Linked DNA regions of Cricetulus griseus. The protein of the gene in region 2 purifies or fractionates together with the protein of the main gene of each other region. This does not show direct contact. Links are inferred from orthologs where the notes say so. Each region holds a gene or a part of one and is shown on either strand. Other genes may lie near its edges.

Region 1 (3,500 bases), on a different chromosome or scaffold from region 2:
TGTCCTTGAATTCCCCTTCATTCTATACCCCCTCCACACACACATACAGGGTGTTTCTTTGTTGTCCTGGAACTTGCTGTATAGACCAGGCTGGTCTTGAACTCCCAAGTGCTGGGATTAAAGGCATGTGTCATGTCCACTCCCTGTTTTCTTTTTTTAAGACAGGGTTTCTCTATGTAGCTTTAGAGCCTGTCCTAGCGCTAGCTCTTGTAGACCAGGCTAGCCTCAAACTCACAGAGATCTGTTTGCCTCTGCCTTCTAAGTGCTGGGATTAAAGGCATGTGCCTTTAATGACAGTTGGGGAATGGGGTAGAAAGGAGGTCTGGGCTTGACTGCATTTTCCTCATGCAGGAAATGAGCTGTTCCAGCCTTGCCTGGATTTTCCAAGCCCCTAGGCCAGTCTCCATCTCTGTGTTCGAGTGGAGAGAAGATGGACAATCACAGAGAGTGTGGCTTAGAGGACTCTGCTTCCCAAGTGCTGGGATTAGAGGTGTGCACCACTACCATCTGGCCCCAGCTATTTTCTTGTGCTTTTAAAAACTTTTTTTTTTTTTTTTTTTTTTTTTTTTTTTTTTTTTTTTTTTTTTTTTTTTGGTTTTTCTAGACAGGGTTTCTCTGTGGCTTTGGAGGCTGTCCTGGAACTAGCTCTTATAGACCAGGCTGGTCTCGTACTCACAGAGATCCACCTGCCTCTGCCTCCCGAGTGCTAAAAACTTTTTTTTTTCTTTAAATTGTGCTAATATGTGGAAGAACCTTGAAAATAGTATGTTAATGTAGTAGGTATGGTGGTGCACGCTTGTAATCTAAATACTCATGTAACTTGAAGCTGAACAATCATGAATTTGAGTTCAAGCCCAAGTTACATAGTGACACTGTCTCAAAACAAACAAACAAACAACCCAGCAAACCTTGGGTTACATGAGTGTCTTAGGGTTTCTATTGCCGTGAAGAGACACCATGACTGCTACAACTCTTGGTTTTTCGAAACAAGGTTTCTCTGGCTTTGGAGGCTGTCCTGGAACTAGCTCTTGTAGACCAGGCTGGTCTTGAACTCTCAGAGATCTGCCTGCCTCTGCCTCCTGAGTGCTGGGACTAAATGTGTGCGCCACCACTGCCTGGCAACTGCTACAACTCTTACAAGGGAAAACATTTAATCGGGGTGGCTTACAATTTCAAAGGTTTAGTACATTTTCATCATGGTGGGACATGGTGTGCTGGCAGACTTGGTGCTAGAGAAGGAGCTGAGAATCCTACCTCTTGATCCGAACGCAGCAGAAGGAGTCTGTATCCACACTGGATATAGCTTCTGCATAGCAGACCTCTACAGTGAAGCACTTCCTCCAACAAGGCCACTTTCTCCTAATAGTACCACTCCCTATGTATTTGTGGGCCAATTACATTCAAACTACCACAGTGGGCCTAGTGTGGTAGGCCTGAAGGCCCAGGAATCAAAGATGAACTAAGAATACCCAAGGCTCAAGGTCTACCTGGGTGACAGCGAGTTTAAGGACAATTTGGGCAAATAGACCACTCAAAAAACAAACAAACAAACAAACAAACAAGTCAGGTATTGGGGGTGAAAGCCTTTAATCCCAGTGCTGGAGGCAGAGGCAGGTGGATCTCTGAGTTCGAGGCCAGCCTGGTCTACAGAGTGAGTTCCAGGAAAGCCAGCGCTACACAGAAAAACCCTGTCTCAAAAAAACCAAAATGCTCCCCTCCCCAAAAAACAAAAAAGAAAACAACCCAAACCAAAATATCAGCTACCCAAAAAACAAAACTAAAAAACAAAAAGCCCTAAACAAATATTGGGGGTATAGCTCAGTGTTAGAGTGATTTCTTAATATATTTGAGACTCTAGAATTCTAGTACCAAACAACAAAATGAATAAACCAAGAGTTAGTGATGTAGCTCAGTAGTGGAGTTCTTACTTAACCTGAGCAAGGCCCTGTGTTCAATCCCTGTCATTGTCAAAGGACAAAACAAAAATTGCCAACCAAAAGTAAGTGAAAGCAGCAGAAAGCTGTAACAGTGTATGTATTCTAGAAGGCTGATTGCTTAAAGGGCATTCTTTACAGGTTTTTTTTTTTTTTTTTTTTGCTGGGGCGGGGAGTGGGGGTGTGGGGGGTGTGTGGGAGGTGGGGTGGGGAGTGTTGAGGGGTGGTTATCAAAGCCCTGGCTATCTTGGAGCTTATTTTGTGTAGACTAGGCTGACCTCATACTTAGAGATCCACCTGCGTTTGCCTCTCGTGTGCTGGAACTAAAAGGCTTGCATTCCCATGCCTAGCTTGTTCTTTTTGAGACAGGATCTCTTTCTATGTAGTCCTGACTGTCCTGGAATTCACGGAGATGTTCCTGCCTTTTCTTCCCAAGTGCTGGGATTAAAGGCATGGTGAGGCTCATTTATTTACTTATTTTTTTTTTTTTTGGCTTTTCAAGACAGGGTGTCTCTGTGGCTTTGGAGGCTGTCCGGGAACTAGCTCTTGTAGACCAGGCTGGTCTCGAACTCACAGAGGTCTGCCTGCCCCTGCCTCCCGAGTGCTGGGATTAAAGGCGTGCGCCACCAACGCCTGGCTTATTTACTTACTTTTATATTTACTTATTTATTTATTCATTTCTTTTAAAAATTTAACCTTTTAAAATATGGAAAAAATAAAAAGGAGCTGGACTGTTATGTGGTAGAGCACTCGTCTAGCATGCGTGAAGCTCAGTTCAATCCTCAGTACTCCATAAACCTCTGTAGTGGTTATATATCTCTAATCCTAGCTCTTGGGAGGTAGAAGCAGGAGAATCAGAAAATCAAAGTCATTCCTGGATATAAAGTAAGTTCAAAAGTAGCCTAGGATACATATCTTGTCTTTAAAAACAACTTGTAAGCCTGATGTGGTGGTTATGTCAGCTGGAGCTACTAATGAGAGCCTGTCTCCCTATCCCGGAAGATTGTAAATTTACAACCCAGTGGTATTTAGTAGATTGACAATTGATTGCAGCCATCACCTCTTCAGTTTCAGTGCCCTCCCACCCATATTTTGGAGACAGGGTCTCTCTTGTGGCCCTAGCTGGAGTAAAACTCACTGTATAGACCAGGCTGGCCTCAGACGCTAACAAGTGAGTCATCTCCCCAGTCCAGCTTATCCCTTACCTACTACCTCCATCCTTTTCTTTTTGTGGCAACTATGTCAGATATGTTTGTTTTGTTCATTTCTTACTGTTTTTACTTCTCTAGGCCAAGCCATGACTACGGTAGTGGTACATGTGGACTCCAAAGCTGAGCTCACTACCCTGCTGGAGCAGTGGGAAAAGGACCATGGCAGTGGGCAGGATATGGTACCTATCCTTACCAGGTAAGAATAATTTGCTTTTCCACACAAAACTTGTCTTTCTTTTCTATACACAAAACTATATTTAAAAAAATAGGTGTATTGGTGCTAGCAAGATGGCTGAGCAGTTAAGAACATCTGTAATTTTTGTAGAATTTGGTTCCCAGCACCATGTTGGGCTGC
Region 2 (4,239 bases):
ACTGACTTTTCAAAGGTGGGTTTCTGGGGTAGTACTCAGCACGTGGACTTTTTCCATCCAAGCTGTTTGCTGTTTTTGAAGTTACAATGCAGAAACATTACGTTGGCAACTGTAGTTTTCTTTGAGTTTGTCTCTCCTGCTGAGAATACCCTAAGATTAACCTTTTTGTTGTTTTTGAGTCTGTGCAGCCTAGCCTGGCCTCAAAGCATCCAGCCTCGGTCTCCAGAGTGCTGGAATGACAGGTATTTGCCAGTGTACTGGCTAAAATTGCCCCCCTACCCAGATTAAGTAAAAAGTCCTAATAGAGATTTTCCAAGGTTTATTGCTGGTAACTTAACCAAATTTCGAGCTTTTTTTCTTGCCAATAATCACATATAAAACTTGGTCTCAGCCGGGCGTTGGCACACACCTTTAATCCCAGCACTCGGGAGGCAGAGGCAGGTGGATCTCTGCGAGTTCGAGACCAGCCTGGTCTAAAGACCTAGTTCCAGGACAGCCTCCAAAGCCACAGAAAAACCCTGTCTCGAAAAACCAAAAACAAAAAAACAAAAACAAAAAAAAGTTGGTCTCATAGCTGGTTGGTGATGGCACTCATCTTTAATCCCAGCACTAAGGTGGCAGAGGCAGGTTAATCTCTGTGAGTTCGAGACCAGCCTGGTCTACAGAGTGAGTTCCAGGTCAGCTAGGGCTGTTACACAGAGAAACCCTTTCTGGAAAATAAACAAGAAAACCCCAAACAAACCAACCCCCCCCCCCCAGAACAAAAAACAAACTTTATCTCATGGGATGCACTAGCAGGGAAACAGACTTGCCAATACTGCCTCTAAACTGAGAGTTGGTAAATGAAGGAAGGTGTCAGCTTTATTTGGTCCTCAAATTACTGAGTTAGTGACTGATAGTGTGTGAGGTTGGGCGGACCCTGAAATTTTGCTGGGTGGGGCTGTTATTTGGCCTTAGAATGTACCCCTACTCCCACCAGCCATCTTAGAAAATGCTCACGGTGGATAAGGTAACAGGATTTACAGCTGTTATTACTGAGACAATGAAAATGAGGGCCCTGTGGGATATTGTGTCACTGACAAAAGTGAGAAATGTGTTGCTCCACTGAGTCCAAAAAAACTTTTCCTGCCAGCTGAGCTTTCTCCACTCTCTGACCGTGGTGATGCTCGTCTGGAGCAGTAGGTATGCTTAGGTTCCCCTCTTATTTGGGGGTCACTCCCAGGGCCTTGCAACTAACTCCTCGGTCCATTTTCTCTTTCAAAGTTTCCCTTCCCTTACTTTTTTTCTTCCCACCCTCTTCTTTTCCCAGCTAGCTGACCCCGCCTCTTGCACGCACCACCTACTCGGCCTCACGGGAGACTTCCCGCTTCTTCTCCCGGCCCCCCTACCCCTATCTGCCCGCCCTCCTCAGGTTCAGAAACCTCCAATCAAGAGCGCCGAAGGTGTCGCCAAGGCCCGCCCTGTCCTCCCTATCCACCTCTTTTACCCCCCTTGTTCCCTCCCCCACCCCCCCCACCTCAAGTCCGGCGGACTCGGGGGCTTCAGGAGCTGGGAGCTATGAAAAGTGTCTGTCCAGGCACTTCCGGTAAGGACGCTGTGGCTCGGAGCTCCCCGCGGGCTCCTTAAGAAAGGGGGTGACTGGCGGCGGGGAGCCCCGGTGAGGAGGGTGCTGGCAGGGAAGGGGTGCGGGAGCGGGAGCTCGTGCAAGCTGCCCGGTGCGAGCATCCCCGGTGCTCCAGTCAACCCCGCGGTTCGCCGGCGCCCCCGCCTCCCCGGCGCCTCGGGTCCTCCTCCACCCCCCACTCCGCGAGGGTGACGCCGCCTCTCCACGGGCGCCGCGTGACCGGAAGTGGCGCCATCTTTAGCCTCTTGTGCTATTGACAATAACAAGCCTTGGCTCGCTCCCCCTCCCCCCTCCAGCCCTGCGTCTCCCCTCCCCGAGAGCGAGGAGGGAGAAAAGGAGGAGGAGCTGCAAGCTTCACTGGCTCGCTGAGTCTCTCCCGCAGAAAGTGGGGGAAGAGAGACGGAAAAGCAGAGGAGGGGGACGGCACGGCCGTTTACCTGTCTGCCTCCTTTGCTTCCCCCCTGCCTCGCTCTCCTTACTGCCGGTGTCAGCCTATCTGCCTTCCCAAGCCCTCCCATTCCCCCCGGTGTGCCCCCCCCACTTTCCTTCTCGTCCTCTGTGTTTCTCCTCTCTTTCTTCCCTTCCCCCTCCAGCATTGCCAACCTCTCCTCCACGCACGCAGGCACATTAACGTAGGTTTTTGATGCTCCTCTGCCTGTTGACCCCGCTATTTTCATGTTTCCAACAGGTTTTTCTTCCCCCAATCCCTCTGCTGCTTCTGCTGCTGCTCAGGAGGTCAGATCTGCCACTGATGGTAATACCAGCACCACTCCGCCCACCTCTGCCAAGAAGAGAAAGTTAAACAGCAGCAGCAGTAGCAGCAGTAACAGTAGTAACGAGAGAGAAGACTTTGATTCCACCTCTTCCTCTTCCACCCCTCCACAAGCTAGAGATTCGGCGTCCCCTTCAACCTCGTCCTTCTGCCTCGGGGTTCCAGTGGCCACTTCCAGCCACGTACAGATACAGAAGAAGCTGCGTTTTGAAGACACCCTGGAGTTTGTAGGGTTTGATACGAAAATGGCTGAGGAATCCTCCTCCTCATCTTCCTCATCTTCGCCAACCGCTGCAATCTCACAGCAGCAGCAGCAGCAGCAGCAGCAGCAGCAGCAGCAGCAGCAGCAGCAACTTAAAAATAAGAGTATATTAATTTCTTCTGTGGCTTCAGTGCACCATGCAAACGGTCTGACCAAATCATCCACCACGGTCTCTAGCTTTGCTAACAGCAAGCCTGGCTCGGCTAAGAAGTTAGTGATCAAGAACTTTAAAGGTAACCAAGGCCAAAATCCATAATCACCTACTAAGAATTTGACACGTGAGCAGTCACGTGTGCTATATATGTTAGGATATCAAACAGTATAGAGGTCGCCTAATGTTTTATGCATAATCAATGAGTGGAAGGGAGGTCCTATTTTTGGTGGAGGGTTCTTTTTTCTGGGGTGTTTGTGGCCTTGCTCTGAAGCACACTCTTTAGTGTTTGCATACAGTGTTTTTTGAGGTCTGCCTCAGCCCATTATATCTAATGTGTTGTTCTTTAAAACATCGGCAGTATGATTGATCCGGATTTTTACAGGTGAGAAACTTGTCTTGTAAAGAGGTACATTTCAGGTGCATAGTGAGTCTTGGCACTACTGAGGTTTGTATTTTTATAGGCCACATGCTCCAGTCCCTAAAAATGCAGGTACCAAGGTTGATCGTTTTATGTTTAAATGAGATTTATAGTTAGGTTCTTAGTGTAGAGTACTGTATTTGTGAAACTCACTGTGGAAGGAATATTGGGTGAAAAAAATCATTTGGGTTTCTGAATTTCTTCCCAAAGGTAAAGTCTGAAAATGAAAACTACTGTGTATGCACAGAAGTAGTCTAGATTCTATCACTAATCTAAAGATAGAAACAGTGAACTACGTCTTTACCTCACCAAAAGGGGCATTTCAAGTATTGACCTGCAGCTACTAGAAAATTTTGCGCACCCCGTGCTTGAAATTACTGATTGAGAGTGTGATGCATGCACCAATGAAAATATAAGCAGCATTTAAAATTTATTTGAGCTAAGTTCTTATCTGTTGAATGTGTTTTTCTGATTATTTTTCACCATCCTCAGCTAGCAGGTAATAGATGCTAGACTGTTTATTCAAATGGGGATGTGAATGAATGGGGAGAATTGGTTACTCTGCTTGTGTTTGAAACGTTGGTGCGGAAAAGGGCAATGTGCTATTTGTCTCACCAAATAGTATTGTCTATTTTTAACCCTTTTTTATATGACCCTCTTTCTGTCCTCAGGCTCTTGAGAGTTACCTTCTTTCTGATTTACTAGTAGAGCTTTTGAAAGTGAATATGAACTGTATTTACAAATTCATTCATTACTTCACTTAAGACAATGATTTAATAGGGAAGGATTTTTCAAGAAATGAGCTGTGATTCTAATTGCATTTGCAAATTGATTTTAGACACTTTATTTTTCTTTCTCCTGAAGGCATTAAAACATTTGGATTCTTTAATTTGCTTCACTTATTGCTGGTGAATGAAGTTTAAACTCTAGATTAAGATTTCTTTCTGTTCTGAAAATACTGCATAGGTTCTGGAGTCATTTGGGTGTTAGTTTGTTTTTAAATTTTCGT
Region 3 (4,235 bases), on a different chromosome or scaffold from region 2:
TCATTCTATGCGAACTTTCTATTCGTATGCCTCAGCCTCCGGAGTGATGGCATTACAGATATGCACCAGTACATCTGGCTTTACCTTACATTGAAAGTTTTCTGTAAGGATTTTTGGGTTTTGTTGTGTTTTTTGAGACTTGCTCTCACTATGTAGTAGTTCTGGGTACCCTGGAATTCCCTATGCAGATGATGCTGGCCTGCAACTGAGGAGTCCACCTGCCTTGCCTCCCGGGTGGTGGGATTAAAGGTGTGCACCACCACCCCAAGATTTTAAAGTTTTTTTAAAGCAGGGTCTCTCACACTGTAGCTCAGGCTAGCCTCGAATTCAAAGCAATCCCCCTGCTTCCGTCTCCTGAATGCTGGGATTACAAGTGCCCATCTAAACCCTTTTTTGTTTGGTTGTTTTTTGAGACAGGGTTTCTCTGTGTAGCTTTGGAGCCTATCCTGGCACTCTCGATCTTGTAGACCAGGCTGGCCTCGAACTCACAGAGATCCGCCTGCCTCTGCCTCCCGAGTGCTGGCGTTAAAGGCGTGCGCCACCAACGCCCAGCTCCCATCTAAACCCTTTTAATTTTTAAATTTCCTCACCTGCCTCCGTTCCACTAACACTTTCCTCCTGTCAACTGAGATTCCAGTCGTCAAAACATAAGGACTACTGGGTGGTAACCAAGGCCACACAAGTGTGGTCACCAAGTAAAGCTCTGAAAACTTCACGGAAGAAAACGGTAAAAGTCCGACCAATCCATTTCCCCCGCTTTACCATTTGCTTCCTTTTGAGACAGGTTCTCAAATAGCCCAGACTGGCCTGGAAGGTGCTATATGGCTGAGGCTGATTTTGAACTCCTGATTGGATACCCCCCCCACACCCCGCCTCTACCTCGCAAAAGCAAGCATGAGCCACCACTCGGGGCCCCTTTGCCTTTTAAAACTCCTCTTCTTAGCCGGGCGTGGCCTTTAATCCCAGCACTCTGGAGGCAGAGGCAGGAGGATCTCTGAGTTCGAGGCCAGCCTGGTCTCCAGAGCGAGTGTCAGGACAGGCTCCAAAGCTACACAGAGAAACCCTGTCTCGAAAAACCAAAAAACCAAAAAACCAAACTCCTCTTCTTAAAAACACGCGTGGCTCAACTACCCGAGCCGCGTCTACCACTAACTCGGGCACGCGTCCCTGCGACGCTAAGTCGCCCAGAAACTCCGCGCTGCCCTGGGCTCCGCCCTGCAGCTCCCGGGGGGTGGGGTGGGGAGTGGGGGGCGTCCCGGCGGCCCCGGCGTCTCCCCGCGCTCGCAGCACCGCGCACCCACCGCTCTTCCCCCGAGAACCCTCTCTCCGCAGAGCGGAAGCCCGCTCGTCCCGAGCCGCCGTCGGAAAGCGGAAGCGGGCCCCAGCCGCCCGGAAGCCGCCTCCCGAGAGCGGAAGGACGGCCGGAAGCTGCCCATAGAAGCGCGCGGCTAGAGCGGCCCTGCGGGAGGTGGCAGGAAAGGCTGGGAGCAGCCGCCGGAGGTGACGGAGCGGCCGCTCGCCCGCCCGCCCGCTCGCCCGCCCCGCCCCGCCCCGTGCGCTGGAGGACGAGGCTTCCAGGTAGCGGCCGCGGCCGGTTCCAGGGTACGAGCCCGGCCCCTCCGGTGCGGAGCCGCCGGTCCTGGGCGGCCTCTTTAAGGGAGGGGTGGAGCCGCGAGCGCGGGGGGTGAGGTCACGTGGCCGCGGGCACGTGCAGCACACGCGTCCCGAGCCGGGCGGGGGTGCGTCGTCGTTAGGGTGGCACCATGTGCCACCGCGTCCCTCACCGCCGCCGCCGCCGCCTCTGCCGCCTCTGCCGCCTCTGCCTGCGGGCCCAGCGGGGTGCACGCGGGGCGGCTTGCCTTTAGGCCCCGGACCCCCGCGCAGGGTGGGCGTGGCAGCCGGGCCGCGGCCCACTCCAAGGAAGCTAGAGCTGGATTTTTTTTTTTTTTTTTTAAGACCTCTTGACCCGATTTCTCACTGCAGAGGTGGCTGGCTTACTGATTGCCTCTGGAGTGCGGTTCCCTGCCCTCGAGCTGACCCGTCCCCGCCAGTGCCCCGGGCCCCTGAGCTTCACGATCGATCCTCTCTTCCTTGCAGCTCCAGACAACTTGAGACCAGAGCGAGCCCCCGCACCTCAGTGCAGCCATGAGCGCCGAGGTGAAGGTGACAGGGCAGAACCAGGAGCAGTTTCTGCTCCTTGCCAAGTCGGCCAAGGGGGCAGCGCTGGCCACACTCATCCATCAGGTGCTGGAGGCCCCTGGTGTCTACGTGTTTGGGGAACTGCTGGATATGCCCAATGTTAGAGAGGTGGGTTGCTTGCCCGGGTAGTCCAACCGAGAACCTTGGGGCCCAAGTTTCTTCCAAGAATGCCTGGGCTCGTTTTGTAACCAGTAAGCCACTCAGGTCAACAGGGTGTTGGTAACTAACCACCAGTTAAATAAAGGTCTTTCATTTCTCTTTGGAGATCAAGGGGGTCTGTAAATCTAACGTCCCCTCCCTCTACACACATCTTTTTGAGACAGGGTTTCTCTGTGAAGACCCGGCTGCCCTAGACTAGTAGTAGTAGTCATCGTCTGGCTTGGCCTTGCACTTGTGGCAATCCTCCTGCCTATTAGGCCTTCTGCCGGATTTTAATTTTTTTCTTATTTAAAAATGTGGAACGATTCACGAATTTACGTGTCATTTTTTGCTCAGGGGCCATGCTGATCTCTGTATCGTTCCATTTTTTGTGTATGTGCTGCCAAAGCAAGCAAGGATTTTGTTGTTTTTCCAGACAAGGTTTTTCTCTGTAACAACTGTAGCTGTCCTGGAACTTGCTTTGTAGACCAGGCTGGCCTTGAACTCACAGAGATTCAAGTGCCTCTGCCTCCTGAGTGCCGAAACCAAAGGCATGTACCACCACCCAGCTGGATTTTTTAATTTATAAGCAAAAGTACATGCCATTCAGAATACTGCTTGTAAGTTCAGCCTGTCCACCAGTGTGATACCTCTTAATAATCATGTCACCAGCTCAGTAGTGGAGGGGTATCTTTAATCTCAGCACTCAAGAGTCAGAGGGAGGTGGAGTTCTGAGTTAGAGGCCAGCCTGGTCTACAGAATGAGTTTCAGGCCCGCCAATGCTGTTACATAGAGAAGCCCTGTCTCAAAAAAAAAAAAAAACAAAAACAACAACAACAACAAAAAAAAACCAAGGCCTGGCAGTGGTGGCACACACTTGCAGAGGCAGGCGGACCTCTGTGATTTCCAGGTCAGCCTGGTCTACAGAGCAAGTTCCAGGACAGGTTCCAAAGCTACAGAGAAACCCTGTCTCAAAACAAAACAAAAAGAAAAAAAAAATGTCACCTTGATCAGAGAAACCTTATTAAAAGGCTCACTTTTCTCCTAAAAATGGTGATGAGAAACTGGAACATGACTCAGTTGATAAGAGTGCTTGCCTAGCATTCGTGGGGCCTCGGGGTCCTTTTCAGAACTTGGGATGCTAAGGCGGGGGATCACAAATATTGGGCCAGCCTATGCAACTTAGAGTCCATCTCAAAAAGGAGTAGGGATGTAGCTCAGTGAAAGAGCCCTTGTCTATAGCATGCAAGGCTCTCTATAGCTTGATTCTCAGAACTGCAAAAAGGAAAAAAGTACTGCCTCTCAACAATTACAGAAGTAAAATTATGGGAAAGTCTAAAGCCTCCTAAAAATGTAAAGATGAGCATATTATCATGCTATGTTACCTCCCCAAGTGTCGAATATACAAATTCGTTTATGGTAGATAATGAAGACAATGTCTTCTTCCCAAAGACAATGGTAAACTGCTATGAACACAGCAAAGAGCATCAATAACAAATGGCCAGTCAAGAGCTTGAAGTATAGAGCAAATGGATGGCCAACACTGTGTCACTGGCCTCTGTCCTGAGAGGCTAACAGTAGTGTGGCTAAACTGAGCCGAGTTTTAAGAGGCCTCTGGTTGAATTAGAGGATATAATGTGTTTTGGGTTGCCGTTTATAGAAAACTGGCGCTATCTTTTGTTCCTGATTTTATCTACAGTGAACTAAAGTATAGTTTTAAGATAAGTAGAAGAAACATTTTCTAATTGCCTTACAGTGTTTAGTATTCTGCAAAATATAAGGCTACAGGTTTGCCCTTCAAGCTTGTATTCAGTTAAAGAGATCAGATAAATGGATGAAACTGTGGAAGACAGTTATTTAGCAAGAGTTTAGTTTGAGGGCTGCAATTCTGCTGCATC
Region 4 (3,198 bases), on a different chromosome or scaffold from region 2:
GGTTACTCGGGAAGGGTGTACCAGGAACTCGGCGACTACCAGGTTTGAAGCTGGAAGGGCGAGGTGATCTCCAGGGGCCTTTTAGATTGTGGAGACTGAAGCCTCTAACTCCTAAAGCTTGAGTCCATCAGAATCACAGAGCCAAAGGCTCTTCTGCACTTCTGTCTAGGCAAGATTAAGCTCATGTGGAGCAGCAAAAGGACTTAGGGTAGCCCCTACCCTGGTGTCTTGGTGTCAGGGTCTCTTACAGACCTGGACCCTACCATTCCGAGGCCTGAAGTCAGGCTCTCCTACCTTTCCAGCCATGTCTGATGCCATCACGTATTGCTCTTCCTTAAGGACCCGTACAGAGGTCACTGCTGAATCATGGAAGATGTGGGTGGCCTTCCAGCCCTTGGCTTGACTTGGAGAACGCAGGTCAATGGCAAAGATCTCCCCAGAACGACAGCCATTAAACAGTAAAGGAGTCTGTGGAGAGAGAGGTAGTGCCCAGCTTTTACCATTGGCCCCTACGGATGGAAGGGTGTGTCCTGCATGAGGGTTGGGAGGAGTTTTGGTCTCAATGGACCCAGAAGGAAGGCAGAATTCTTGTGAGAGGGTAGAAGACATGGACCCTGTGTCTCTCCAGTGTCTACCCTGTGGTGAACCTGTAGGTACTTGGAGGTAGCGCCATTGTCCCCTTAGGCTTCTTTTCTTCCTTTTTATTTTCATTTTTTTACATTTTGGTTTTTTGAGACAGGGTTTTTCTGTAGGTTCTGGAGACTGTCCTGGAATTCTCTTTGAAAACGAGACTGGCCTTGAATTTATAGAGATCTGCCTGCCTCCTGAGTGCTGGGATTAAAGGCATGCCCTGAGTGCTGGGATTAAAGGCATGCGCCACCAACACCCAGCTCTTATTCTTTTTTTTTTGAGACAAGTTTTTTCTGGGTAGCCTTGGCTGTCTTGGAATTCACTTTGTAGACCAGACTGACCTGGAACTGGCAGATCTCCAAGTTCGAGGCCAGTCTGGTCTACAGAGCAAATCTTGAAAAAAAAAAAAAAAAAAAAAACAAATTCTGCTGGGTACGGTGGCACATACCTTTAATCTCAGCACTCAGGAGGCTGAGGCAGAGGGATCTCTGAATTCAAAGATAGCCTGGCCTACAAGTGAGTTCCAAGCCAGCCATGGCTACATAGTGAGTTTCTGTCTCAAGGAAACCAAACCAAAACCAATAAAAAACAACAACAACAACAAAACAAAACAAAGTACCCACTGATCATTCCCATGCCTTTTTTATTGTAAAAAGGCGGGGCCCAGATGATATACTAGGGAAACCCAGTGTCACTCCCGAAAACATTTCACTCTGGGAACGTTCTGTTACACCCTTCCCAATCCAACCAACCTTGACTGCAAATTGCTGAGCCAAGACATCACTGTTGGTTCCATACGACTGCCGGTGTCCTGTCACCACGTTGGTCAACAGGACCCTTCGAGACAAACCTGGTGGAAACAAGAAATGGGTCCCTGAGACCAGGGATGCTGGCAGTCTAGGAAGAGGAACTGGTGGGTGGGACCTTCAGGTTTGTGGAGTTCTTTACTTGACACCCAGGGCTATGGCTATGGCTCACCTGTACTGAAGCAGTTATTGGCCTGGGTGTTCAGGGACCAGGCACAGGACCAGGCACCAGGGATCCGGAAACTGCAGAGAACGCCGGGCTGGTCTGTACCTGCTAAAAGAAACAAAGGAAAACAGGGTCACCTGTGGTGATATTTTGTTTATGATCTTCCAAATAAAGATTGCCTGAAGATCAGATGTCTGTTCAAGGAGCAACTCATGTTCTCAGTCCAGACTGTGGCATTTGTAGTGCTAACAGCTGGGATGGGGGTGGTGTCGGGAATGTGGTTTCAATCCTTGTCCCAATACCAACAGCGTGCTCAAGTCAAACATTGAAAACTATGAACTGACAGAACATCTCGAGGGGTAAATCCAGCCATGTGTCCACCACTAAGACACACCAGTAGCCCAGGAGCCTCCTTCACGTCCTTTTCCAATTTCTATCTCATTTCATATGGTTTCCTAAGGGAGTTACTATCAAGACTTCTAACATTAAAACATGAGTTTCGTGGGGCAACATTTTTTTTTAAAGATTTATTTATTTATTATGTACACAGTGTTCTGCCTGCATGTATGTCTGCAGGCCAGAAGTGGACACTGGATTTCACTACAAATGGTTGTAGTTTCACCATGTGGTTGCTGGGAATTGAACTCAGGACCTTTGGAAGAGAAGGTACTGCACTTTTTTTTTTTTTTTTTTTTGGTTTTTCGAGGCAAGGTTTCTCTGTGTAGCTTTGGAGCCTATCCTGGCACTCGCTCTGGAGACCAGGCTGGCCTCAAACGCAGGCAGTACTCTTAACCACCGAGCCATCTCTCCAGCCCTCCTGGGGCAAAATTTTGACCCACTCCTTATCTGTAAAGTGGTAAGATACACGCCCCTCAAGTTTGCAGGGCAGTGAGATGCTGACAGGGCTAAATGCTCATGGCCTCCTTTACCTCCACAAGGAACCTGCTGGGGTAGGCACTGCCTCCATCTTCCAGAGGTCATGCAATATGGTTGAATATGGGAATGGAGTAGCTGTGCTCTGGGTTAGCTCTGCCTGATGTCTGCAGACAGCATGCAGAGGTCTGTCAGAAGAACCAGTCAAACTGCTTCCAGCAAGCTAGCCGGCATGCCTCCAGCACTTGGGAGCTTAACCAACCACAGGCTGCAGCTCAGACCAGTGTTTTGGTGTCTTGTGCTAGCTAGTCACCTGCACTTTGGTTGCAGAAATGACTTCAAGGGGTTTATAAAAAGTAGCAAAGTCTAAGATGCAGTGATCCTGGGACAGACTTTGGGAACCCTCCCACCCTGCAGCCTATCCCAGCCCATGTGCTTAACTGGGGTCATCCAGAGGACACAGGGCTTTCTCAAGACAAAGGAAGGGACTCTGTACCTTGGTGATTACTGACGAACAGTGATGCTGGGAGCAGGGTGGCGCAGCCTGGTGTCTCTGCAAGGCCCATGAGGCATAGCCTGCAAAAAAATCTGTTAAGGACAGCCAGGTATGGACAGAGCCCTCTTCTGGGAGAAGAATGGCCATCAGTAACTTTCAGGAAATTATGAAACACAAAGGAGGGTGGAGAGTCCAGATATAACACTTTTTACACTTCCCACATCCAG
Region 5 (4,283 bases), on a different chromosome or scaffold from region 2:
CCCTCTGCCTCGGTCAACCTCACCTGCCATGGAATCCGCCAAAGTTCCCCACAAGCTTTATCATAACACTTACCCCAAAGACTCAACATCAACCTGCCAACTGGTAAACTGCACTAGACTTGGAAGAAACAAAAATCATGACAAGAATTGCTAGGGCGGGAGGAAACAGCTGTGCGGTGTAAACTGGGCCTTCTAATTGGATGCATAGCCTGGGGTGGATTAGTTCCTCCTTTACCCCTCAGATTCCCTAGACTACAGTGAAGAAGCTGGCCTACTCATTCTAAAATTCTGGGTGACCCAAGAATTTTATTTGTATTCCCAATAGTCCTCCAACTCAATTTTCCCCTGGGCACATGCTTTGTGGATACTAGAATGAACGATGGCCGAGACTGGAAACTAGGGCCTGGAGGGGTTGCTAGCAGCTTAGACACAAGGAGCCATTAGTGCCGAGAGGCTAAGGTGCAGACTAGTCTGGAGTCTTCTTGGCTGCAGCTCACAAGTAACAGACAAGTGAGTGGTCCTCAACGTGGCTGGAGACGGTAGAAAGGAAGGCCTTTAACAGAGGGCTCCCCACTGGCACTGCAGCTTCATCACCCGATGGGCTCTAGGGCCGAGTAACCCGTCTTAGTTTACTGTCTGATAAAACACGAACAATAACAGAACCCGACTTATAAAGGTCGCTACGTGAAGTTTCAAGAGTGCCTGGTATACAAGAGGAGCTCAATAAACACTCCTGCCAGAGGCGCTTCACCACGCAGCACAGCCTATTCCAGCCCAAGTGGTAATTTCCCGGGATAATTAAAAAGCCTAAGCGAGATACAAACACGTGGGGCGTGCTAGGGACGATGGTGACTAATTCCTAACAGTCCCCAATTCCCAGCTAGATACAACATGCTCCGCACTCGCAGGGCCCACGTGAGGCCTCCGAGGCCCGGGTTTGAGTGTCACGGTGACCTTGGACCAGCCTAGTTCCTCACGGAGCCTCTACTTTCTTATCTGGAAACCGCCGCGTGAAACCCACGAAGGGCCCACGCCGCCCTATGGAAACCACCCGACCGCGTGTGTCTCGCAGGCCGGCGCCCGAGCGGTCTCCATGGCAGCACCCGACCTACCTTCCTGCCGGCAGTAGGACATGGTTGTTCCGGACGCTCTCAGCTCTGGGAGGCACTCAGCACGACCGTAGCGGATACACACCTTCACGCAGTGACCTCCCTTCGCCTCTCCTCAGGCTTGGCGGGCGGCACTTAAGCCCGCGCGGACCCGCCCCCTCCAGGCCTGCCCGCCGCGCGCCTGCCTCCCAGCTTCCTAAGCACCAGCGCCGCTCCTTAGCCGAAAACTACATTGCCCAGCGGCCCGTGCGCCCCTCCAACGAAGCAGGTACTACATTTCCCAGAAATCTTGCAGTGCGCACGCGCACCAGTGAAGTGTTGGGTGCGCTTGAAATTTTGTGGCGGAAAGTGTCCGATAGCGGACTACATTTCCCAGCAGGCCTCGAGATGTGCTCGCGCAGACAACTTGCGGGGCACAGACAACTATCCGCGGGGCGGTAACTCTTGACCTGAGTCCTGCCAGGTCCTGGATTCCACGCGGAGTCTTGCAGCGCGGTAGGAGAGAGGAGGTCACCGCATTCTGCCTTCCGGTCGTCAGCCTAATTCCTAGCAGAGCAGTGCTAGACCGCGGAGGCGAGCCGGGCCCACCATGGCTGCGAACGTGAGTACCTTCTGTTCCCTTGACCACACTATCATCCGGGACACTCCTTCCCCTGGTCCACGGTGGGTCCTTCGGCGATGCGACCTCAGTGGGTGCGGCGACCCTGATCTCCCTGTGCTCGTCCACCTGTCCACTCACCCTCAGGCCGCACGTTTGTGGAGCGCTCCTCTAAGTCGAATCGGCTCGTGCGTGGTTGCTCCTTCCACTCCTAGTTTCTGTCTGGGCCCCTGGGGTATGAAACTTGGGGAGAAGGACCGCGAGGAAAGTGTCTCTCGGTGGGCATATTGGTGAGGCGATTCCGGCCAGGTGGAGCTGTCCAGCAAAGGCTTCTCTGACCTCCGTGCCCTAGGGGGTGTGTACACCTAGGCTGTGCTGCTTCTGTAGCAGGACCAGCCTGGCCGGATGACCAAGAGAGAGAGGCCTTTCTCTACGGTCCGGTCCCTGGTGCACTTATTTGGTAAGAGACCCTGGCTGAGGATAACCTCTCCCCCTGTCCCCAACATCCCCCAGGTCTCTGGCTTCTTCCTACTGCAACTAGTCCTTAAGAACTTTACTAGTGAATCCGAACATTCATTCAACAAGCGGAGCAGCGCCACTTACTAGGGAACTGGGTGTGGGAGAAGCTGGTGACTCACCACTGCCTCTGGTGAAAGTGCCTCTGAAGCCAGCTCAGGAGTGCTGCCAACCCCAGGCACACCCTCTCTCCCTCCTTGGTAGAATGTCATTGCCCCCCTCTTCCCAGGCCTCTCCTCTGTCCGGCAAACCTCTTCTTGGCCTCCTACACCCCTGGAGCGGCCAGAGTTTGTGGGACCCACTGCCCAGGCAAAGGCACATTGTCAGGCCCTGGAAGGCAGGAGAACCAGAGGTTAGGAAAGCTGCACTGGAGCCAGAGGAGAAGGCACCCTGTAGACCAGCCTAACAGGAGCAGGTGGACTCATGATGGCGCTTATCACCATCACCATCATCATCATCTTTTACAGTTCCCCAGCAGAAGACACCGGCTCGGGGGTGCTAGGCCAGTATATGCTACAGCACCAGCCTGGGAAGGTGATGAGGGCAGGCTAGAGGCAAATCCAGATTCTTCCACTCTAACTTCTCTGGGTTCACTGTCTCATGGGATCAGTTACTTTGAAGTTTGAGGAAGATTGCTAGGCACAGAGCCTGGTACATGGGAGGTACTTAACCCATGGAAACGTCACTCTTACAGGCTAGTACCCACAGTCCTGGTAGGCAGAGACCATCTCGGGGATGTTGGAGTCTGACTCTCATACCAGCAAACATAGACACAATGGGATCTCTTCAGTAGCCATGCCTTTGCCTATTTGTTACATTACTTTCTTGGAAAGACTTGAATGAACATCCATTCAGTCAGCAGGATAACCATAGACCAAAGGAACAATCCTACCAACTCTATCTTGGTGAACTGTGCATACTTGCAGGAGCATGGGTAACCCCTAAACAGCTACCTCACCAAAGTCCCACATCAGCATAGGTGGACCACCCCTGGAAAGCTGCATAGATGAAGTGTCATCCCCTTTGCTCCCAGCCCCCCCTTCAGTTAGCCTCTGCCTTCTGTATACCCTAGCAATGCTATATACTGCTAGGGGTGGGACATAGGAGGAGGTGATCGGCTGGAATCTCATCCACTCTTCCAGAAAACATGCCTGATCATGTGAGGGGCTCATGTGGACAATCAAAGCTGTTCTTATTTCAAGATGTCAATGACTGTGTCATGCCTGGGGGACAGAGGACCAGAGCATTCATACTAGAGCTGAGCCACCAGGCAGGGTTAAAGACAGTGGGTGGAGCACAGGCACCTAGATTCAGAATAACAGCTGACCTGTCAGGTAGGTATTATTACCAGCAAGTGAGGAACCAGGACCAGAGAGGTGGAGCATGTTACCAGGCTCACACAGCAACAGAGCTTGGATTCCAACCGTGGTGTGCCAATTTCCAGGCCTAGTGTGTTCCCACCTGTTGCTTCATTGCTTGTTCATTCTGAGCCCAGTGTGCTCAGAATACGTTACGGAGGATACATAAGTGTATGTATACACATGCAAATACATATTCCCATATAGGTACCATTTGCCATCTCACCCCTCCCCCAGCTGGAGGAATATCCTCTTGGCTTCTATCCCTTCCTGGGCTTAGGAAGAACAGGAAAAACACAGGTTTCCTTTTTTCTATTTCCAATTGTTCAGATCACATTACAGCTAAGGTCACTTTAAGCAATGAGGAAGGCAGTCTAGGGCAGAGGGATCTTGCTGGATTTGAGCACCTACTCACTACACATAAGCTTGATCTGGGCAGATATCCTAAGCAGTGAGTCTCGATTTCCTCACCTGTGAAATGGGGTAGTGCTAGCCTCTTCCACCTTGAGCTGGCTCATGACTGACCATGAGCTGGCTCATGGTCACCTTCTTGTCTGCAGCGATTATCTCCACTAAGTTTCTGATGGTGTCATTCTGGGTTCAGTGGGTGTCCTGAGCCAGCAGTGGAGAACAGCCAGAAGTGGCATCTGCTGTGCTCATAGACTCCGACCCAAATCTATCCTCTGATCCTGGGCAAGAAGG
Region 6 (4,097 bases), on a different chromosome or scaffold from region 2:
TCAAGTACCATGAGCTGCCACAGACCAAGGTGCCACAAGGCTGCGCTGGGAACACTCAGTAGCCCTGCACCATCTACTCCCTGAACAGAATTTAGAGAATGTCTTCGAAGGTTCCGGTGTTATGTGTCATACCTCTCCCTCTACTTATCCCCCTCCCCGCTTCTGACAGCAGCTGGGAAGAAGCAATGTCCCCAGTGAGGAAAGCACCCATCTGACAGGTGGCATCCCCACACAAGCAGCAACCACAAGCCAATGAGCCCCCAAACCCATCTGGGCCACAAGTAAGCTAGAAATGCACATGGCAGGATGAGTCTGGTTCTTTGGAGAACCATGCACCACAGAGTTCAGGTGAGATGAAACGGAGAAACGCTACTACCCTCCCTGTGGGAAACTTATCCTAAATTCCCAGCTGCCATCTGAACCCTATGTACGGGTTAACCAGTAGGAAGGAGGCCTTCAGAAGTCAGAGGAATGGGAGGTACCAAACATGCCCTGCCACATGCCTGGAGACTCTTCAGTCGGCTTTCACTGTTTGTTTGGTAAAATACTGTAACCAAGACAGCTCTGTTATGCGATGGAGGCATGCCCTCCATCATGACTTCAGACACAGGGCAAGCTCAAGCAGAGCTCAGCTGTTTCTCTGCAAAGGCAGCACAGGACATGAGAATCCAGGTGGGCAAACAGGTGTGACCCAGGGAAACAAGCCACCAATAGGAGACAGTAGAGGGAAGACAGAGCCATGCAGGTCCCTGCACCCAGGTCTGGGATACAGACCATAAATCACTGTGTCCATTTGCATATGCTACCTTGGGTAGTGAGCTGGGGAGGGATTTAGTTCATGTTTTTCCCCTCAAATAGGGCTGACAGCCAGAGCTAACAGCCAGGTGACTCCATACACTTGGCACAGTACCGAGAAGAGAATAAGATCTTGGCTACTCTGCTCCATGATCCAAATTATCCATGACACAAAGCTGCCCACTGCAGGGGAAACTCAGATTAAGCCTGGCACCCAATCCTGCCACACTCACCATTAAAAAAGTCTGCATGAACTGCTTTTTCGTTGGCTGCCAAGTCCATCAAGAGCCCGGTGCTCCCTCCGGCCTGGAGAATGAAAGGTAAGGTCATTCCGTGTGTTTGTTTTCTAAAAGCAGGTGGTAGGTTCATTACCATATCCATCCCTCCTCCCTGGAACGGAACAGTGAGTGACGGGAAGAATGCTCAGACTGGAGCCAGAATTTTCCAGACAAAGGAAGCAGTGTGAATGGGGAAGCCAAGCAAATTATTTTAAAGGTCTCTTGAGGTCCCGTGTTCCTTGAGTCTTCTTTGGCATTGCCGTGTGTAGTGCTCTCTTGCTGGAGTCTTCAGTCCCTTCCCTCAAGACACCACAGGACACAGTGCAGCAGCAAGCCAAGTAACTACTCTAGACCCTCCCCTCTGAGAATGCAGCCATTCCCCTTGGGACGGTGACCACCCCAGCCCTGAGGTCTGGGATGCTGCTCTCTGAGGACCCTCCAGGACAGCCACCTGATTTATGAGATACAATTATACTCTTGGGACTCTGTGCCATTTAGTCACCCAGAAGGTGGGAGCATTCAGGCAGCAGCACTCGGGACAGCTAGCCCCAGGCCCCTTCCTGCCTGGGCCCTAACGCCCCAAGGCTGCTTGCTCAACCCCCTCCTGGTTCTCAAAAGGCTGAACACCTCCTCTGTTCCCTTTCAAATCTGCTCTCTGGACGCTTGGCCTCCCTCCCCAGTCCCATCGCCACAGTAAGCCGCACAGACTCTGCTTCTGAAACCCTGACCAAGCTCCCCCTACCTTCACTGCCTCACTCAGAAGCTCTTCAAGTCTTAATTCTTCCTGTTTCCATTTCTCTACTGTCTCCCTACAAATTCCAAACCCTCCTGTGGACCAACCTCCACAGGAAATCGGCCTGTCTCTCCTTAGTATGACCGCAACGGCCTCGGCAGTGGATCACGGAGCCCATACTCGTTCTGCAGGCTTCATCATGTGGCCCTGCCTGTTCCCTCCCCTCTGTGCCCAATTAGATGGTGTCCCCTCCTGTTTGTGTCCAGGGAGCATCAACTCTTCCAGAGCTCTGCTCCTATGGCTCTTTTCATACATGTCCACATGAAACCAGGGCAAGTCCTTCTCCATTCGGCTCAGGGAAAGCTGAGCCAACCAAAATCCCGTGGACAGGGACTGCATCCGAGCATCTGTCTGCTCGCTGAGTTTTGGGGGGAGCAAGAGGCTTGATACACAAGAGCTGACTGGCACTCCTGATCACAACCACCTCACTGGAGCGCCTGCCCCGGATAAAATCGCTCTGTGGCCACGACGGAGGCCACAGACACAAGGCCGCTCCAAAACTGTGTCTACACCCGAGACCCAGCGCAAAGCACACCAAGGCCACACATCGGCCCTGCCCCTCCCCCCGTCAGCCCCTAAGTCTCTGCTGGGAAGATCTGCCAGGAGCCCGGGTCGGAGAACTGTCCACCAGCAACCCCGACTAGCTCGCTGCAGTCCCGTCGGCCGCACAGCCTCGGGCCCGGCGACTGTCACCGCCAGCTCCGCCTCCCCAGCCGCCGGCGGCGTTAGGCTCCCCCGGGGCGCGTGTTTGCGGGTCGCGCTCCCGCCCCCACGCCCCGCCGCGCACTGCCGCAGCCCCACCTCGTCCAGGTCCACGTAGGGACCCGCTCCCTCGGGGAACATCTCATCCACCGCCGGCTTCATCTCCGAGCTGCGGCGTTGCGCTCACTTCCGGCCAGCCCCGTCCACTTCCGGCGTGCCTCCGAACAGGTCTAGACGCCGGAGGACCGCGCCTCGGTGGTGCCCCGCCGACCCGGCTCCTGAGCAGGGAAGGGCAGCAGGTTACCGGTTTAGGACCAGCAGCAAGCACCCCGCGAGCACCAGTGGCCGGTGGAGAAAGGAGACTGTTTTCCAACAGGGATGCAGTTCTAAACCATCAGATTGGCTACTATACAGAAGCCGCAGCCCGTGATGCGGTAGCGAGAAGGTCCCGGGGTGATTGGACCCCCAGGCTGCTAGGGTTAGCAGAAATCTAAAAGCTGTGCACAGTGGCAGCGACCCAGAATCCCAGCCTAGGTTCACTTGGAAATCGCTCAGGATCACCTCAGCCAAGAGGAGGAAGCAAGAGGTGAACGCAGACGAAACCACAACAGGAGTTATCCACGTGGTACGATAGTATGGGGTCTTCCTTAAGAAGGGATTTCTAACCCATGGGCACGGGTGAGCCTTGAGGATGTTGTTAAGTGAAATAAAACAAACGCTGTGATCCCACTCATGCGAGATCCCCAGGGCAGTGAAACTCCTAGAAATGCTGCGGTGTGGTGGCTTAGGAGAGGCAGGTGTTCAGCGGACAGCTTCAGATCTGCAAAGTGAAGTGTGTGGGGGGAGGCATTATATCCCCGGACTGTTCACTGAGAGTTTGGTATGTTTTAGGGTAAAGATGAGGAAGGGATGGAGGGGGATTACCGGGAGAGCAAGCCTGAGATACTCTGACAGTCTAGAAGATTCTAGTGAGGCTTCTGGATGTTCCCCTAGGACCCTCTGTGCACCTCCTTGTAAGATCCAGGTTTAACAAATATCCCTGTGAAGTCGATGCAGCAAGAAGCCTGAAACCAACTGCCACCTGCCTGCCCTCCATGCCATGTAAGGCCCATCACCCTGTACTATTCCTAGACCGTGTCATCAGACCCTGCCTTCAGCAAAACCCCTGTTACTCCTGAGCCATTTCCTATCTACCTCAAACCCACTCCTCGACTGCCAGGCCCTATTTGCTGATGTTTTTGAGCCAAGTCTCTCCATGCAGTTCAAGGCTGTGACTCTTATACCTGTCACATGGCTGTGGATGGTCTCCCTTACTCTGATTTTATAGTGTTCAGGGACTGGGTTTTTTTTTGGGGGGGGTGGAGTTGGTGACAGTGGTGTTTTTCCTTTAACAGCTTTGAGAAGTCAAGGGCTTAGGGTCTGGGCTGCTAGAGTGAGAATGGGGGTCAAGGGAAACGCCAGCTCCAGGGAAACTGACTTAGCTAAGATATAATGGGAATTGTGTCCTGGGCAGTCACTGCCCCCCACCC
Region 7 (3,500 bases), on a different chromosome or scaffold from region 2:
TTAAATAATTGCCATATGCATAGTTAAACTTTGCTACAAATTCATATGCCCATCCCTCACTTGAAGTCACACAATATTGTTGTAACCTACTGACAACATCAATTACAACTCATTGATAGATTCCCACCTATGACAGGAAAATTATCTGCTGGCACCACTTACAGCCATTTAGAAAAAAGAAATTCAAACAAAGCAAAATTTAAATAAAAATATTAATGATGAAATCAGCTCATCCTCTAGTGCTTTTAAAAGAATACAACCAGTACTTAAAATAATCTTAACAATTTAATAATAGAAAAACTAGGGCTGGAGAGATGGCTCACAGGTTAAGAGCACTGGTTGCTCTTCCAGAGGTCCTGAGTTCAATTCCCAGCAACCACATGGTGGCTCATAACCATCCATAAAGAGATTTGGTGCCCTGTTGTGGCATGCAGGCATACATGGAGCAGAATGTTGTACTCTTAATAAATAAATAAGTTAAATCTTTAAAAAAAAAAAAAAAACAAAAAACAAAAACCTAAGGTGACCCTTACAAAGAGATGATTGTATCAGCCCCCACTCCCAAGAACAGAACTGCACAAACACAAAACATTGTTACCCATCAAGTTGCCAGAAATACAGTCCCTAAATATACACATCCAAGGGTGTCTACATAATTATAATGGGAATAAACAAAAAACTTTCCTTAACTATTATATTTCTGGAACCAGATCCAATAAAATATTTAGGCACTGAAAAATAATTTATAAGTTAAAAGCTGTAATTTGATATAACTTACCTGTCCGTGGGTCCAAGATGGAAACATAGGGGAAATCCCCTAGTTTATAAAACTGAATGTATCTCTGACCTTCCTCGCTGTCGTGATAAACCTGGTAAGCCAATGATATAAAAAGCCTCTTTAAAAAAGGCTGGCTATAATACTGTCTACTAACAGCAATGGAGTCTCCATGTAAGCCTTTGACAAACATGCTAAATTCTCACTTGCATGTGAGAGTGGAAGTAAGGTCAGGTATGGACTTATATCCCACTCACAGTCCCTTCTGAACACTCATTGTCAACATACAAACCTATTCCTCTTCCCTTCTCAGTTCACAAGAGGTAATAACTCTTCCTTCTCAAGTATCTGTCTATCTATGGGGTTTTTTGTTTGTTTTAGTTTATTTTTGAGACAGGGTCTCACCATGTAGACCAGGCTGTCCTTAAACTCACAGAGCTCTGCCTACCTGTCTCCTAAGTGCTGAGATTAAAGGCATGTGCCACTATGCCTGGCACAGTACATGTATTTTAATAAATCACAATATATGTAGTTTAAAAACCCATCATTTTATTAGGCAGAGATGTAACAATATTTTCTTCAGTCAATATCTGAATTAAACAAAAGGAATTCTGCCATTAAAAAAAATAATCGGGGCTGGAGAGATGGCTCAGAGGTTAAGAGCACTGACTGGCCTTCCAGAGGTTCTGAGTTCGGTTCCCAGTAACCACATGATGGCTCACAACCATCCATTATGAGATCTTGTGCCCTCTTCTGGTATGCAGATATACATGGAAGCAGAATGTTGTATACAAAAAAAAAAAAAAAAAAAAAAAACACAATCACAGAGCTTGGCAGTGATGGTGTATGCCTTTAATCCCAGCTCTCTATAAATTTAAGGCCAGCCTGGTCTACAGAGTGAGTTCAAGAACAGCCAAGGCTATTATACAGAGAAACCCTGTCTCAAAAAAACAATCCCCCAAACAAACAAACCAGTCACAGAGGCCACCATGATAAAAGTGTTGCAGCAAAAGTCTGACAACCTGAGTTTGAGTCCCAGAACCCAAATTCCAAAAGTTGTTCTCAATCCTCCATACCACATACCTATACCCATATAGCACACACAAATTTATAATAATAATAATAATAATAATAATAATAATAATAATAATAATAATAATAAAAACAGAAAAAAACACAAAAATCCCACTGAATTTATCAGACTATAAAACACAAAACAGGTAAATTAATAGCATTAATAGTAGTATATCTTAGAATAAGAAAATATTAAGTTTAAGTTATTTTTTGTAACTTTTTAAAAACTAGAAATTGAAACTGGGCCTGCCTAGACTATAATTCCCAGCTACTCAGGTGTCTGAGGTCAAAGGGTCACAAGTTGAAGGCCTACTTGGGGTAGTTTCAAATGCTAAAAAGGAGGTGAACACCTTTAATCTCAACACTCAGAAGGCAGACACAGGTCAATGTCTGGGTTTAAGCCAGCCTAGTCTACAGAGTGAGTTCCAGGGCAGCCCTGTCTTGAAAAAACAACAAAAACTAAAAAGGAGGATGGAAACTGGCTTAATGGTAGAGCATGTGACTAGCTTGCAGGAGACTCCAGGTTGAATGTCAAGTAGCAAGCCTCTCTAAAAACCAAAAACAAACAAACCAAAAGAACAAAACAACAACAAACACAACCAAACAAAAAGACTGAAACAAAAGGGAAATTAGAAGGCTACCTAGTTTTAACTAGATAATCTACACAAAAAGATATTATATCTGGGACACTAAGGAATACTAAGCTAAAACACTAGTCAAAGAGTAACAAATTCAAGCTCAAACACAAGTTTTAGTGTTTCTCCAATGCTCTAAGATGTTTTCCTCATGGCTGTTGGCCTTGTAGGGCTATTCAACAGTTGAAGTTGACTAATCCATGCAATAAGCATGAAATACATACCATATCTTGAGAATTTAATACACACAGAGAGTAATGACATTAAATCATGTATTGATTTAAAGAAGAAATATTGTTAATTTCACCTGTTTCCTTTGACCCTTTTCAGATATTTCTAGAAATATGTAAACCATGTGTGCTTCCATTGTTTTTCTACTGAATTGTACAGCTGTAGACTGACTGTCAAGATGCTCCTGACTTAGTTCTTTTTTCTCTTTCCATTACTTCTTCACTGCTGCCCTTATCCTTACTATTTACCCATTACAGTTAACTTATGTCATAAATGAATTCACTTTTCCCAGTTTATAAACCCATTTCTCTTCCACAACATCCTATATTATAAAAATAAATATTAAAAAATCTTTAATAGTCCTTCTCACCTGCCAGAAAATGAAATGTTCCCGGATAATATTCTTCACAGCTTCATTGCTCCACACATCACGGTTGAGGCACTGGCATGCAAAGTCTTGTACATTTTGAATGTTTATCATCAGCCACTTATTCTGCATCTGGCCACACTCTTTGGCCTATAAGAGTAAAGTTAAATATTTTTTAAAAAATAGTTTCTAGCCAGACAGTGGTGGTGCATGCCTTTAATCCCAGTGCTTGAGAGACAGAAGCAAGAGGATCTTTGAGTTTGAGGTCAGCCTGGTCTTCACAGTGAGTTCCAGGACAGCTGGGGCTACACAGAGAAAACCTGTCTTGAAAAAAAAATAAAAAAAATTTCTACTTGGTCACTGGTATATTTCAGCATTCAGGTGCTGTCTTTTCCATGTAAATACTAAGCATTCTTTT

Evidence for each region.
Region 1: the proteins of Cul4b (region 2) and Dcaf1 purify together in Homo sapiens (affinity purification with mass spectrometry; 9 studies listed by BioGRID and IntAct, with this or other methods). This does not show direct contact. The link is inferred for Cricetulus griseus from reciprocal best matches to the Homo sapiens genes CUL4B and DCAF1.
Region 3: the proteins of Cul4b (region 2) and Cops7a purify together in Homo sapiens (affinity purification with mass spectrometry; 6 studies listed by BioGRID and IntAct, with this or other methods). This does not show direct contact. The link is inferred for Cricetulus griseus from reciprocal best matches to the Homo sapiens genes CUL4B and COPS7A.
Region 4: the proteins of Cul4b (region 2) and Dcaf4 purify together in Homo sapiens (affinity purification with mass spectrometry; 9 studies listed by BioGRID and IntAct, counting the BioPlex papers as one, with this or other methods). This does not show direct contact. The link is inferred for Cricetulus griseus from reciprocal best matches to the Homo sapiens genes CUL4B and DCAF4.
Region 5: the proteins of Cul4b (region 2) and Tmem43 purify together in Homo sapiens (affinity purification with mass spectrometry; 3 studies listed by BioGRID and IntAct, counting the BioPlex papers as one, with this or other methods). This does not show direct contact. The link is inferred for Cricetulus griseus from reciprocal best matches to the Homo sapiens genes CUL4B and TMEM43.
Region 6: the proteins of Cul4b (region 2) and Cops9 purify together in Homo sapiens (affinity purification with mass spectrometry; 3 studies listed by BioGRID and IntAct, with this or other methods). This does not show direct contact. The link is inferred for Cricetulus griseus from reciprocal best matches to the Homo sapiens genes CUL4B and COPS9.
Region 7: the proteins of Cul4b (region 2) and Ubxn7 purify together in Homo sapiens (affinity purification with mass spectrometry; 3 studies listed by BioGRID and IntAct, with this or other methods). This does not show direct contact. The link is inferred for Cricetulus griseus from reciprocal best matches to the Homo sapiens genes CUL4B and UBXN7.

Annotation. Positions count from the first base shown.
Region 1 is NC_048597.1:215,042,882-215,046,381, forward strand, and holds part of Dcaf1 (DDB1- and CUL4-associated factor 1), read left to right. Parts: intron 1-3,086; exon of another isoform or gene 3,087-3,105; intron 3,106-3,223; 5' UTR 3,224-3,231; coding exon 3,232-3,341; intron 3,342-3,500. UniProt on the Homo sapiens protein: Acts both as a substrate recognition component of E3 ubiquitin-protein ligase complexes and as an atypical serine/threonine-protein kinase, playing key roles in various processes such as cell cycle, telomerase regulation and histone modification.
Region 2 is NC_048604.1:28,526,136-28,530,374, forward strand, and holds the start of Cul4b (cullin-4B), read left to right. Parts: upstream 1-1,439; 5' UTR 1,440-1,557; coding exon 1,558-1,585; intron 1,586-2,312; coding exon 2,313-2,891; intron 2,892-4,239.
Region 3 is NC_048601.1:21,450,495-21,454,729, forward strand, and holds the start of Cops7a (COP9 signalosome complex subunit 7a), read left to right. Parts: upstream 1-1,435; 5' UTR 1,436-1,578; exon of another isoform or gene 1,579-1,602; intron 1,603-1,805; exon of another isoform or gene 1,806-2,097; 5' UTR 2,098-2,145; coding exon 2,146-2,307; intron 2,308-2,648; exon of another isoform or gene 2,649-2,749; intron 2,750-4,235.
Region 4 is NC_048598.1:120,191,814-120,195,011, forward strand, and holds part of Dcaf4 (DDB1- and CUL4-associated factor 4), read right to left. Parts: intron 3,052-3,198; coding exon 2,972-3,051; intron 1,711-2,971; coding exon 1,609-1,710; intron 1,481-1,608; coding exon 1,383-1,480; intron 469-1,382; coding exon 295-468; intron 1-294. UniProt on the Homo sapiens protein: May function as a substrate receptor for CUL4-DDB1 E3 ubiquitin-protein ligase complex.
Region 5 is NC_048601.1:52,332,943-52,337,225, reverse strand, and holds the start of Tmem43 (transmembrane protein 43), read left to right. Parts: upstream 1-1,483; 5' UTR 1,484-1,698; coding exon 1,699-1,710; intron 1,711-4,283. Other genes in the region: Chchd4 (mitochondrial intermembrane space import and assembly protein 40), read right to left, coding at 1,113-1,134. UniProt on the Homo sapiens protein: May have an important role in maintaining nuclear envelope structure by organizing protein complexes at the inner nuclear membrane. Required for retaining emerin at the inner nuclear membrane.
Region 6 is NC_048595.1:444,129,406-444,133,502, forward strand, and holds the start of Cops9 (COP9 signalosome complex subunit 9), read right to left. Parts: upstream 2,801-4,097; 5' UTR 2,731-2,800; coding exon 2,668-2,730; intron 1,102-2,667; coding exon 1,029-1,101; intron 1-1,028.
Region 7 is NC_048597.1:57,160,551-57,164,050, forward strand, and holds part of Ubxn7 (UBX domain-containing protein 7), read right to left. Parts: intron 3,233-3,500; coding exon 3,086-3,232; intron 870-3,085; coding exon 779-869; intron 1-778. UniProt on the Homo sapiens protein: Ubiquitin-binding adapter that links a subset of NEDD8-associated cullin ring ligases (CRLs) to the segregase VCP/p97, to regulate turnover of their ubiquitination substrates.